Linked DNA regions of Bombyx mori. The protein of the gene in region 2 purifies or fractionates together with the protein of the main gene of each other region. This does not show direct contact. Links are inferred from orthologs where the notes say so. Each region holds a gene or a part of one and is shown on either strand. Other genes may lie near its edges.

Region 1 (4,846 bases), on a different chromosome or scaffold from region 2:
GTTCAGTGGTTCCTAATGTAGACTTATTATTTTGTGTATAAAATCTTATAAGATTGCTTTGCTTTGAATATTTTCGTGTTAAGATTATCAGACATTATTTCGGAGGAAAAAACATTGTATAATTTTATTACGAGCGTAAAATAAAATCATCTAAGCTCCATTAATAGTTGCTTCAAATATGTAAATCTGTGTTAAAATTAAATGACACATAATTATTACAACTATTTTGTATATAGATGCTGATTTTTTGTTTTGTCAGCTTGACGGTACCTACGTAGTGTACTTTGCTTTTTTTCTAGTAGCCTGCTTGCGAACTTGCTACTCGCCTCTTACCTTATATTAAATTATGAACTGTATTGAGCAATAGAATTAAAGAAATTAATTGAAACAGCAATGATAAGAACGCGAGATATTTTATTTTATGTGGTTGTTTATTATTTCTTTCGGTTTATTATTAAATATTATTTCTTCTTTCTCTGTCGAATCCGCGGCACTCGAAGTTGTGTCTGAATACACCATCTTGGCCAAATTTTTTATCTAGGCAGGGCCAACTTCGAGAAGGAAGCTGATAGGCGCGTACAGTTGGGCTGGGCTGCGTATGGAAAGCTCTGTCATATCTTTAACTCAGCAAACCAGCAAAGCCTAAAGATGAAAGTCTTCAACGATTGCGTGCTAACGGTCATGACATAATATGGCGCTCAAACGTGGACATTGACCGTAGGTCTGACTCGTAAGTTCAAAGTCACACAGCATGTTATGGAAAGGGATATGCTCGGAGTTTCTTTCATGGATCGAGTCAGAAATGAGGAAATCCGTCGAAGAACCAAAGTAACCGGTATAGCCCTAAAGATTAGCAAAGCTGACGTGGCAATAGGCCGGATATACGTATCGCAGACCCAATGACCGATACCCGATACCACATACCCGGAAGCGCAGTGCTGAACGTCCCGCTTCCCTGTGAACCGAAGACTTACGGTGATATGCTGGAGAAGATTGGATGCGGAAGGCGGAGGACCGTTCATTATGGCAGACTATGGGGAGGCGTACATCCAGCAGTGGAGAGATAAAGGCAGATGATTATGTAGGTTCTTAATCGTATTGTTTCTATAAAAGTCTAAGATGTGGTTTTCGAGCTCTTCCAAAAATTTATTACTTTATTCCATCTCACTTACTTAATTCCACAAAACATTCAATTTTATTCCTTAATTTCATTTTATACCTAAACTTTTTTACTGGGCAAGGAACATTGGTGTCGGCTTATTTTTTTAAATTATAATAATTAATAAATTATTGTTATGAGTATTAATTTTTTTGCCAATTTAGTGAATCAATCAAACATTTTTGATACTGGAGTTTATAGTTGTCTCGACTTTTTGACGGGAACGCGAGAAGCGAAGTTGTGTGAATTGTTTTATTTTGTCTATTTAGTGTTTCTTCAGGTTTAAATCTGTAATAACGGTGGCTTATTAACCTTTTAGTATCTGTAAAAGTGCACAAATGTGGGAAAATGAAACAAAGCCGATGGACGTAGCTTTTCGGGATCTTCCAAAATGTCCACTGAAAAAGTTTCAATAATTATTATCCACCATTTTACTGAGATTATACTTCATCCTATGTTATCTCATCTCATTTAATTTAATTTCATACCAATTGATTAATGTTTCAAATTAATCAACTTTGTTTTTTATTTCATTCTGTATTATCATTTTTCATAAGAAAAGGAAATAAACAATTAGTCGTTATGGTTTGATACCTTTGCCATTACAGTTAGAAAAATAGAACTTCTACTACTGTTAACTTAATGTCAACTCAAAATCTATGTCAAAATCTACGAGGCAAACAGCAAACACTCATAAATAAAGAATAATACCATTTGAAACAAAAAAATTGCAATGCAACTTGAGTAGCCTTATTAAACATTATACATATCTTAATTAAACTAATATTATGAACTTGGAAATGTAATTGTATTGTACTTCTTCGAACCATGTGTGATAGTGACGAACAAGGTGACCACAGCCGTTCAGGCTTGGATCTGACCGGGTTCTTGTTTGGTAATATTGACGAAAGGGGTCAGTTAGAAGATGATGGATTGCTAGATGGTGAATCGAAGCGAATGTTATCATCGCTTAGCCGCTTAGGTTTAGGGTCTATGCTCTCTGAAGTCCTGGAGGTTGAGGAACCAGTTAAAGAAGAGGAAGAAAAAGGTTAGTGTTTTTTTTTATCAATTTCGACTCTGCATTGTCGATGTTGAGTGTGTTACTACATTTGACGACACATTTGACTAAATTTGTCTAAATTTTGACTACATTTGAATAAACATGCCTTGAAAGTAAACCAGTAAATGTAATAATACTTTAGAATATGTGTTTGTAATTGTCACTACGGACCTTAAATGAATAAAATTAAAGGGGTAAAGCTAAAAAGAAGTCGTAGAATATCAACTGGGGATTTTCACATTTTATTCATTCTGTTTACACAAATCTCGAAGTACTGACCTGATTTTCATGTAGATTTTGTAGGTACTAGTGAGACAGAATATCTTGCTGCAGAAAGTAGGCTTTGCTTCATTACAGAAGAATGTTGCAAAAAATGTTATTGTCATTTAATTATTTTCGAAATTATATATAATTTATAATTAGTATGTAAGTACCTAGCTCTATTTGTATGTTTTCACTTCTAAACCACTATACTAAGTTTGAATTTAGTTTCGTGTCGAAATTATTACTGTATAAACCTTAGGAAATAATATGGCCTATATTTTGTCCCACTGCTGTAAATGGGTCTCCGTCACTCTTATATAAAAAGTAAATGGGTTGTGCACAGCTGTATTGGTAATTGAATGAAAGCCAAATAAAAAAAAGTAAAATAGTAAACAAATAGTTGTTGATTTTTATATTTCAAACCTATATTAGATATTAAGAAACCTTTTCATTAGTGTAAATTAGCACATTTTTTAAATGGTAACATGCACATAGACATCACATGGCAAATCAGTTTGAAGTCCCAAATGCCGAAATCACCTACTCTTGAAATGGAATGCTTGCTTATTTTCTAGTAAAAATATGCAGAACCTTTGCCTTACCTTTAAGTAGCTGATATAAAAGTTTTGAATTGGATAACCAATGGTATTATGAGAAATATGCACTTATGATGAGAATATGCACATAGATTAGCAGTGAGTAAGCAAACTTCAGTCATAAATCATACATAGTCAACAGTGAAATCCAAGTCAGGAAACTTAGAAGATAGTAGTTTCTTTTAGTATGGTTCAAACTACTGTTAAGGTTTAATCTCACATTTTCTTATGTCAACTGAAATTTTAACTTAACTTTTAAACTGAAGACATTATTAATTGCAGCAATGGTAAACATCTAATTCTTTATTTTATTTCATCAGACTATAATGAGAAAAGTCCATCGGCTGTGGACTTTTTTGACATTGAAGATGCAGCAGAGGATATAAAAGTATGTTTTTGATTTCACAAACCAACTTATAATATTGCATAGTATTTAATCTATTAAACAGCTATCTATTCTATCTAAACACCTACCATTATTTTAAAACTAATCACTAGCTCTGAAATAAATTTATGTTGGTGTTACAGGTAGAAAATAATGTGATAAAATTTGAAAATACTTCAGATGTACAAACTGTGCATAGCAGCAATGTTCCTGTGATTATTGATTCACAGAGTATTAAAGAGGAATTAAAAGAAGATACTTGGAGGGACACTGATATTGCAGGAGAACAAGAGGTACAGAGTACCAATGATGATGGCTATGAAGGTGATATGGAAGGTGATGGTGGACTTATGCCCCCTCCTTCGACAGTTCCGTTAGTATATTCTTTTCCAACTTATGAATGAAAAGGGAACAGATTCACCCAATTAGATAGAGAATTTCATTTTATGACAACACAAATTGCATAATTGCTAATAGTATGATATAATGTAACCAAATTAATGGCTTATATGTAAGTACCAATATGTTGCCTATTTCGTAATCAAAATTTAATTTAGTAGATATTGGTAAATACAGAAATACAATATGACATTAAAATAAAATGAAAATTAATTGTTTTACAGACCCCCCAAACAAGAAAAACCCAAAAAACTAGATACTCCATTGGCTGCAATGCTTCCATCTAAATATGCCAATGTTGATGTCACAGAACTGTTTCCGGATTTCAGACCAGATAGAGTGAGTAATATGTTGTTTTTAAATATTAACAAGAGCTGAATTCTCAAGCTAATAAATGTTATTTATTTGCTGTTTTCATGAAATTTTATTTGATAAATATTCATGTAGGTACTTCTTTTCTCTCGACTTTTTGGACCTGGAAAACTGTCCAGCTTACCGCAAATATGGCGCGGTGTTAAAAAACGTAGACGTCGAAAGCGCAGTGGAAGTACAGGCAGTGACACACCACCGATGGTTCCAGACAGTCAGGAACCTCAATATGCAAGTGACGATGAAGAGAAACTTCTCAAGTAAATATACTGAAGATTAAAACAGCATTTTCTTTATCAATAGCTTACTCTCTTATGTATGTATCCTTAAATTAATGATTTAAAAATAAATTTAATAACACTTATTTTAGGCCTATGGAAGAAAATCAACAGATGTCTAATGACGATAAGGGATTAGGCTCAGGAGACAAAGCACAAAGGCCAACACCGGCCCACTGGCGTTTTGGTCCTGCTCAAGTTTGGTATGATATGTTGAATGTACCAGAGACAGGTGATGGGTTTGACTACGGATTCAAATTAAAGGTATGGAACAACATCATGTATTTTTCTAAATATATTAATAAAATTATACTTTAAATCGTCTTCGTCTTAATG
Region 2 (4,271 bases):
TAATATTGACAAGTGTACGTCCAAATTGTCCATGTATTAGTTAATGTACCTAATACAATATTACATTAATGTAATCATTAGCGATATTCTAGTACATTTCGTGAAGGTATCGCCGTGCTGCGACGTGTCAGCGTCCGAAGCGACCCACTTAACAATTGGATTGATATCTGAAAATACTTATTTTTACTGTACACGTAAGTTATTTCATATTTTAACTGAATAAATCGAAATGGTTATTATAGTTGTATGTTTTATTTATTTAATACCCTTCAAAATCCATGTCAACCTTCAGTGACTTTAGAAACAATTCTTGTTGATTCACCATCGTTAAAATAGTCCTACTTCCAAGATACTGTCTCATGAATGAATGAATAAACTGAACATGGCGCTAATCAGAACTGGCTATCTTAGTAAAAAAACCTGCCAGACTGTTATTAAGTGGATATCTAACTTTTTTGTGTAACTTGTCGAAAGGCAAGCAATTGCTTAAATTCCAACAGAACAAAGAAACATCAAACGGGAACGCTTGACTGTTTTGCGGCAGAAAAAAACCAGATTATGGATATCTATTCTAATTTATTTTTCAATTCACAGTTTATAGACGGTTGATAAATGAATATTAATATTCTCTAAATCTAAGAAAATCCTAAAATTAAATGAACCAAATAATACAAACCAGTTTTTCATTTTGTTACAATATTGCCGAAAAATAATATACATACATATATCTTTTTATTTTGAGTACTTTAATTAAGATAAATAAATAAGAAAAATGATTTCTGTTTTGAATGTAAATGCATAAAAGGAAATTTAATATCTAGGTAATATTTTTTTCGTAAGACAGTGCGGGATAAGCGTTTACATTTGTTTAAAGATAAAGGTATTGAAAGTAGAGATATTGAAACCAGCTACTTAGTTAGTTTTGTTAACTAACTGTACAGCTGTTTGATGAACGAAATAAATAAGAAAAAAGGAATTCATTATATATTTTTTGAAGTAAAACTTCTTTAGGCGCGTTGAGAGTGAAATTTAACTCGCGACAGATTCGTTACGGCTAGAGAGAAAAGATACAATTTAGGAAGAGCGAGAGTAAGAAAATAGGTAGGGCGTCTTGTGAACCACTCAACCGTGGAGAGAGGGAAAGGGCAAAGCGAGTTAGGTCGTTTTTTAATTTAGTGACATCTATTGGATTTCGTTTAACTACTACATTGCAAGACCATCGGTGTGAACAGTTTAGTTTCTAAATTATTTACAGAAGGCGGTATTTTAAATAAAAGTAATTATCACTAAACATATTATTATTGTAAAACCAAAGGACTCGTTCGGTAATCATCGAATACTGGTAACAACTTCTTTCTAAGTTAATCTTATTTCTCGAGATAAATTGAAGTTTCACTTCTTTCACGTGCACCAAGTTTTATACGCGCACCAGTTTTTTGTTTGTTTCCAAGTTCTGACAACAACCATAGAGAGATATACTTTTAAATGTGTTCTGAAATGAAGATGTCAATGGCTCAGAATGGCTGACACTGACAGTTTGAATTGACTTGACAATCGTCATCAAACAACATAGATCTGTCACAATCACAGCACAAGTGTTGTTTTTATAGCATTGTTACCAAAATAAAGTATGCCAATACTATGACTAAGAAAAAGATTTTTAAACAAATCAGAAATAATTCGGTCTAAAATTAAAATAACAAATAAAACTACAAGATGTCAGAGAAAGACAAATCCAAATCGGGTGGTCAAGCTAAGCACATTCCCAAAGATGCCCAAGTCATCATGTCCATCATGAAGGAAGTAGGTATCACTGACTATGAACCGAGAGTCGTGAACCAGCTCCTAGAATTCACATACCGCTACGTTACATCAGTATTAGATGATGCAAGGATATTTGCAAACCACGCAAAAAAGAAAACTATAGATCTTGATGATGTGAGACTGTCAGCTCAAATGCAATTGGACAAGTCCTTCACGAATCCCCCGCCCCGTGAAGTGCTACTGGAGATCGCGAGGGTCAAGAATGTTAATCCTTTGCCGTTGATAAAGCCGCATTGCGGGTTAAGACTGCCTCCGGATCGGTAAGTATTGGAAAATGTAGCACACTTTAATCCTATATCTCACAGCACATTATATTAATCTTTCGTGAGTATGGACTTAGATAATTTCTTCAAAAATCAGGATTAGCTTAAATAGCTCAAGGTTCAATCACCGGACTTGAGGGAAAAATACTCCACTTTAGACCACACGTATGTAATTTGCGCACCATGAATTGATTGCAACAATATTGTGTTCACAATCAAAGTTCAGTAAAGTCTTCTTGTAAACAATATCTTTAGGTGACAGATTGTCTTATTACAATTTGTAAGTAGTTACTGATACTTCAATACTGCCTGTTACTAAGAAGTCTTCAAACCTTACTGAAATAATGTCAGAATACTCCATAAACACCAATGGTTGCATTTGGGAGCCTGGTATAATAGTAAAAATGATGAATAGAAATACACTATGGACCAATTCCGCTAACAAAGGAAATTATGGAATAATTTTGATTAATTTTGTGTGAAACATGAGATTCCCTTAACACCCAGAGCCTTTTAATATGGTTAACTTGTAAATCGCTGCATGTTTACAGAGAATATTCATTTTTCCAGTTACTGCCTGTCATCCTGTAATTACAAACTGAAACCAGCAACCAAGAAAGTGATCACAAAAACTACGATAACCCCTTCCCCGTCCATAAAAACGGTCACCACATCCAAAGCACCTCAACAGACAGTTGTTATGAAGAGACCACCGGGAGCAATTGTGAATGTGGGCACCCCAAAAACCAGTCTCGGAACAAAACCTGTACTGAAATTTTCATCAAGCAGTAAAGTAAGAATTTGGTTTAATTTTAAAATTATAGAATAGATAAATAGACAGCACTATGCTTTATCATATTCATCACAGATTGAACTATTAAAAAGTGGTTTCTTTATTTCCTAACAATAATTTGAAATGTTGAAAACTGATAATCTATATTATGATATAAACAAAACGAAATATCTATTTTGTCTAATTAAATGTCAACTTATATTTGATAATATCAAAATTGCGTCACAATTTTTTTTTATTATATCTGATTATGTATTGAAATCTACATTATAAATTAAAACTAATTTTAATCTTTCATTTTTTATTTGCTTTACATTATTTCTGACATTTCATAGTTAGCACAATATTTAAATGTCAATGAATTATATTGCAGGTAGTAAAACCAGCTGTAAGAGTGACAGCTGGTCCTTCCTCACAGGCTCCTATCAAGATGGAGACAGACGAGCCAATGAGCCACAAACGGAAAAGAGAAGACGACGATTATGATCTATAAATAATTAATAGGATCACGATCTTTCTGCCTGGAATCAACATTTTGATATTAAAAAGTATCATGTGTTTAATCCTGTTTGTTTAGTGATTAATTCCATAAAACCTGATGATGCAAATTGCTCAGATTGTATGGTTTATATGACTAAGGGTATTTTAATTATTACTGTAGGTAGAAACAACAAAAAAATTGAATTTTTCCTGTTTTTTTTAAGTGAATCATATTTCAATGAAATAGCTTGCCAAAAGTTCTAAAGATAATATAATAACAGAAAGATTTAAGTAAGAGAATCTGAGATTAAAAGAGTCACTGTCTGACTGTGCCCTATAATTTAAGTAAGATCTGGAGGTGAACTCATACCGTTTTGATGCACAACTAGATTCTTTTTAATTTGCGACCGTATAGCTTGGCTGCCGTGCAAATTTTGAATTGAATTTGATATTATGTGTTGTAGTTTTCTAGATGAGAACAGGATATCTACAGTGATTTAACATACATTTAAGAAGGCATTAAAATAGAGTAGGTAAGATAAAAATGCATTCACAGAACTTGTCATCTACTACACTCGCGAGCAAAAGTTTGGAATCACTTACTTGAAATTGATTCCGCGCGATCTTGTGTACTAAATATTTTTTTGATAATCATAAAAATGAGATCATTTTAAAGGTTGAATTCCTAACTTTAAACTGATACCAAATTCATTAAAATCAAGCCAGTATTTAAGAAGTTATCTTGGATTAAGTGAAGGAATAACGAAAAAGACGTGTTTCAATTGCTTGATACGTCGCGAGTTGCGGCCTACTGACCCCTATAAAAGCACCTGTTATCGGATTTTCTTTATCAGTCGACTTTCACACGTTGACTGGTACATATCTCGGCTACTTTTGACTCTTTACCTTGT
Region 3 (4,883 bases), on a different chromosome or scaffold from region 2:
TATCTATTTTTTCTTGTACTGCAATTAATTGCATTTGCTTTTAAATAGCTGTTCAAATTGCTTATAATACATTTTAAAAGTACATAATACTGTTTAACTTGCAGATATCTTTTTCAGAATTATTTGCTGATCTTAGTTATTTATTCACAAGACATTTTATCAGCCCTCACTAAGCCCTATGGTTTCAATAAATATAATATCAATCTGCTTCCCAATGTAAACGGTTACATATGATGGTTTTGAGCATCAGTTCACAACACATTTAACGAATATATTCTATATATGTTTGCTACTTACAGTTCAAATTTTCCGTATAAAGAAGATCGAACTCCTTTTCTATTTGAGAAAATAGCTCGTGCAAACGAGATCGGAATACTGGTGGAATTGAAGTTTCTGAATCTTCCATTTTGAGATAGTTCGGCATTCCGTCGGTACCTTCAGTTAAAGCTTGGAGTCGGCGCTTACTGGATTTCATGGTTGAAAGCAGAATGTTCAGCTGTAATCCGCTTTCTTATGTTACGTAGCACATGTTAAGCACAACTTTACTATAATTTGTAGATTTACTAGGTTGAACCACAAATTTTAAGTTTTAAAGGTACCGAGATATTTAGATGCCTTGCTGTTGTGTTGTAACAATAAAGTTTAATTTTGTATTCATTTATGTATAGATTCTCTGTCTACGCTCAAGCAAGATTTGAGAAAACTTGAATTAAAAACATTTCGCTGTCATATACAACAGAATATAATCTGTAGTAAGTTTTTTTTTTGGGATTTCAGACCTGGTATTTACAACCTTTAGGTCAAATCTGTAGTAAGGTTTTGGAGCTACAGACTAGTTAGAAATTATTTTGGATTTACATGTTCCATTAAGTAGTAGTTTTCTTTTTACCACTTACAGCAACGCTCATAAGGAGCATGTTACTATCACAGATTAATATGCAGTATTATAAGAGAGCTGCTTTTAAACTAGAAATTAACGAATTTCATTGGAATTATCACTATTTGTAAGACTAGTAACAGTTTCCTGGTTCAAATTTAGCTTAGGTCTATATTTTACGTCTATGGTTGCCTGGTAAGTTCGACTATTAATTTGCAAATTATACTGTACATCGTGAATTTTAATATCACCGTCCTTTTCTATACTTGCGTTAGGAAGAGATATTGTAGTAAAAATACGTCTTATCAGACATTCGACAGGAATGATGCGTCTTAGCTTAACGTTAAAAATCTTTTTCACACAGTAATACGGTTTTCTAAATGAGAGCATTAAATTACAAACAAAACAGGATTTTGATTTTGTCGAACTGTCTGTAAACTGTAACTGTAAAAACTGTCTCACACTTCAAACTAGAATGCATGATGGTTTCATGGAAGAAATACACTAATATAAGCCTCTTGTCGATCGCAAGACCTATATTGGTTTATTATTTCTGTGCATCGTTCATTGTTCAGTTTTCTTAGTTGTATTTTGTGACAACAACGGGAAGCGATAGGGTAGTTTTTTTTTCTACCTAAGCCGATAGCCTTGAGAGGCTATGTCAGTCAAACCTAACAAGTAGGTGAGCTCACGGGGCTCAAACCTGACGATTTTGCTAACACTAACCCTAGCAAGAGCAGTGCTTCGCAGAATCTACTACCGGATCGGAAACGCGACCCACTGTGAAGATCCGGCGAGAAACTCGGTGAACTGTGTCTGTGGGTTAATTTTCTCGCCGATGACCGGATAGGGTAGTGTTACTCCAATCTTGCGCTACCAAATTAATTTTCAAATACATAGTAGATTCAAATCTATTCAACATGTTAGAATGCGTAGTTAAGTTTTAGGAAATAAAATATTTTACAAAATATGTTTTATTACTCTGGTAACTCAAAATGTTTGGGAATAAAAAACGTAAAATGGCTTTGGAAATTTGTGCGCTAATCTGAAGCCTGCCAACGTACAAGTTTAAAGTTTGTTTTCACTGTAATAAAAATCATGTCATTTTCAGATCTTTACGCTAAATATAATTGTACATATTGTCAAGAGGAAATAAACGGCGTAAGAGTTAAATGTACTGAATGTGTTGATTTTGATATTTGTTTGCAGGTAAAGTAGTTGATACTGCCATTTTTGTTGATAGTTTTGGCGCAAAATTTAAAATTGTCACTTAGAAATTAATATGCAATAAAATGCATTTTCAGTGTTTTTCTCTTGGTGCTGAAATCGGACAGCACAAAAACGATCATTCATATCAGTTTGTGGTAAGCACTTTATAAACGACTACTGTAATACTATTACAGAAAGTAAATAGATTTTCAAGAGTGTTCTATTTTTCCAGGACTCTGGGGCTTTTGGAATATTTTTAGGACGTAGTAGCTGGTCAGCTAACGAAGAAGTAAGATTATTAGATGCCATAGAACAATTCGGCTTTGGTAACTGGGAGGATATAGCAAAACATATTGAAACAAGAACTCCTGAAGGTAATTTAATGATATAAGCTACTCAGTAATCTGCTGTCTTAGCACTGTGCTTCGGTTCATTTTTCAACATTGGCATCAAACAGCATACATTGCATGCCTTGGCAAAGAATACCTAGTATATGCATACTATTATTTGTAACTTTTTATCTAAATGCAATAACAATTTTCAAAAATAGCTTCTGCAACGAAAAAACATTGTTGAATAAAATATGGTGAATATTTCGAATTTCAATTTTTTTTAAAGCTTCAGCTTTTATATTTGGGTAGACGTGCTTACCGTCTACCTGTTGTTGTTAGGTGGTTACGGGATTCAAGAGATTTCAACTACGTAAATGTTACTAGCCACCTTTAGGCATGATTACTAAGTCTCAGTTTTATAATATCGAGGGGTGAAATGCTATTTGGTATAACGTACATTACCTTAGTAATTAAAGGTATACTTGGTATCAACAGTTCGATGTTTTTAGTTGAATTTCAATTTACGTTTACTCCATTCAAATAGCTGAAGACGTTTTTTGGTTATGATATTTTTTCCAATTTTTAAGCTTTGAATGGCCTTCCTGTAAAGTTGTCAAAAATGTCATTTAAACCGAATAGCCTTTTACTCCCTTGATATAGTAACTTTGCATATTTAATGGTGACAGCATGGTCACAACCATTCAATAATGTATATAAACTCACCACATGCAATGTTAAGACAGGATTTTTTCATGGGCTATGGAAGCTCAAAATATATATTAAACAAGAATAAGAAATATATATTAAACATTTACATTAAATAAATTTTGTTGGGATTAAATTTACATGATGCATATCCTTTATTTTCACAAGTAAAAAAGAATAATTTGGAAATAAATCATCCCATAAGTTCAAATCAACGATTTAACACCAGTACTAAAAATAATAAATAGGGTGAGAAGTAATTATTTAAATCTGTTGAGAATACTTCTAAAAATTGACACCGCAAAAGGACTGACCATGTCAATCTCAGATTCTTTAAGACCTCTGCACTCTTCTAAACTCCTTCCTAAACCTGTAACAGCGATGGAAGCATTGTAAACAAATATACTGAACTGCGACTATAGGTAGAGCAAAGGAGGTTCTGCTTCACATGGTGGCAGTGGTACAGTAGTGCTGAACTTTAGAAAGATTACCAAAGAATTATCATACTATATATAAATTTATTAATTAAATATAATAATAAAAATAAATAATAATCATAATCATCGTTCTTTCCTATTACCCTCTGCTGGGGTGTAGGGCTCGAATCAAATCCTTTCATTTACATCATTGTTATAAGAAAGACAAATAAATAATAATAACAAATAAACATAAATTTCAATTACAGAAGCAAAAGATGAATACATTACTAGGTACCTGGAAGGCACCATAGGCAAAGCAACATGGGGCAATATTGAAAGTACATCTCGCCCATCACTACATTGTGCAGATAAAGATGATGGCCCACTTGGTCCAACTGCAGTGTCTCGACTACCAAACCTAGCTATAACAGTAGACGAAGCAGCACAACTTGGGTATATGCCAAATAGAGATGATTTTGAAAGAGTAAGAATGAATTTTTTGTACTATTTACTATAATAAATTAAAATATTGTTCTACAAAGTGTCGAAATTTCAGGAACATGATCATGAGGCAGAGCAGTTGATCTCAACATTATCATTAAATCCAGAAGATGATGAATTAGATGTTGGTAGGTTATATATAGATATATATTCAATAGATAAGTGGTTTTTGGTTGATAAAATATGTGGTTTTTAATATAATAATATCCTTTTAAAAAAATCATAATAATGACTGATAGACTGCCGACCTTGAGCTTGAAATTTACATATGAATTATTCACTCTGAGACGTCTCTTATTTGATACATATTATGAACAGGCTAGACTAAAAGCTTTATAAGATCTGTATATCTATTTTATGATTTTAAAACGTCTCATAGCTTAGTTAAATACATATAAGATATATATAATAAATAAAAAATGACATATCCCGTTTTTTTTATTTTTTATAGCACTAAAGCTATCACAAGTTGATATATACATCAGAAGACTGAGAGAGAGAACGAGACGAAAAAGATTAGTTAGAGATTTCCAGTTAGTGTCTGTCTTCTTCAACAATCAGAGGAATAAACAGAAGACCCTAGGAAAACTTGCCAAAGAAAAAAAGTATGTACCAATAATATTTTTGAAGTATTTCAAATGTGTAGTATATAGATATGTTATGATTTTCGTGTTTTGACACAATTTAGACAAATATTAAAAAAGACAAACAATATTTAATCTATTCTCAATTTGACCACAGACTATAAGCAAAAAGAAAAGTTTGACAATAAACAAATAATATGCATTCGTGTGTGTGTGTAATGTTTTTATTTTTATTGATTTAATGTATTTTGATGCA

Evidence for each region. Proteins that work in one complex are often made in the same cells at the same time.
Region 1: the proteins of transcription initiation factor TFIID subunit 9 (region 2) and Taf1 purify together in Drosophila melanogaster (affinity purification with western blotting; 3 studies listed by BioGRID, with this or other methods). This does not show direct contact. The link is inferred for Bombyx mori from reciprocal best matches to the Drosophila melanogaster genes Taf9 and Taf1.
Region 3: the proteins of transcription initiation factor TFIID subunit 9 (region 2) and transcriptional adapter 2B purify together in Drosophila melanogaster (affinity purification with western blotting; 4 studies listed by BioGRID, with this or other methods). This does not show direct contact. The link is inferred for Bombyx mori from reciprocal best matches to the Drosophila melanogaster genes Taf9 and Ada2b.

Annotation. Positions count from the first base shown.
Region 1 is NC_085123.1:8,778,371-8,783,216, reverse strand, and holds the start of Taf1 (transcription initiation factor TFIID subunit 1), read left to right. Parts: upstream 1-1,832; 5' UTR 1,833-1,987; coding exon 1,988-2,207; intron 2,208-3,399; coding exon 3,400-3,467; intron 3,468-3,607; coding exon 3,608-3,837; intron 3,838-4,087; coding exon 4,088-4,202; intron 4,203-4,310; coding exon 4,311-4,492; intron 4,493-4,602; coding exon 4,603-4,774; intron 4,775-4,846. UniProt on the Drosophila melanogaster protein: TFIID is a multimeric protein complex that plays a central role in mediating promoter responses to various activators and repressors. Largest component and core scaffold of the complex.
Region 2 is NC_085109.1:1,356,945-1,361,215, reverse strand, and holds transcription initiation factor TFIID subunit 9, read left to right. Parts: upstream 1-1,520; 5' UTR 1,521-1,716; coding exon 1,717-2,084; intron 2,085-2,657; coding exon 2,658-2,880; intron 2,881-3,253; coding exon 3,254-3,373; 3' UTR 3,374-3,443; downstream 3,444-4,271. UniProt on the Drosophila melanogaster protein: TFIID is a multimeric protein complex that plays a central role in mediating promoter responses to various activators and repressors.
Region 3 is NC_085131.1:6,658,567-6,663,449, reverse strand, and holds the start of transcriptional adapter 2B, read left to right. Parts: upstream 1-1,869; 5' UTR 1,870-1,975; coding exon 1,976-2,086; intron 2,087-2,181; coding exon 2,182-2,241; intron 2,242-2,318; coding exon 2,319-2,460; intron 2,461-3,197; exon of another isoform or gene 3,198-3,808; coding exon 3,809-4,026; exon of another isoform or gene 4,027-4,098; coding exon 4,099-4,171; exon of another isoform or gene 4,172-4,494; coding exon 4,495-4,648; exon of another isoform or gene 4,649-4,883. Other genes in the region: WD repeat-containing protein 37, read right to left, coding at 1-18, 298-475. UniProt on the Drosophila melanogaster protein: Component of several Gcn5-containing histone acetyltransferase complexes that regulate nucleosome organization; involved in acetylation of histone H3, particularly on Lys-10 (H3K9ac) and Lys-15 (H3K14ac).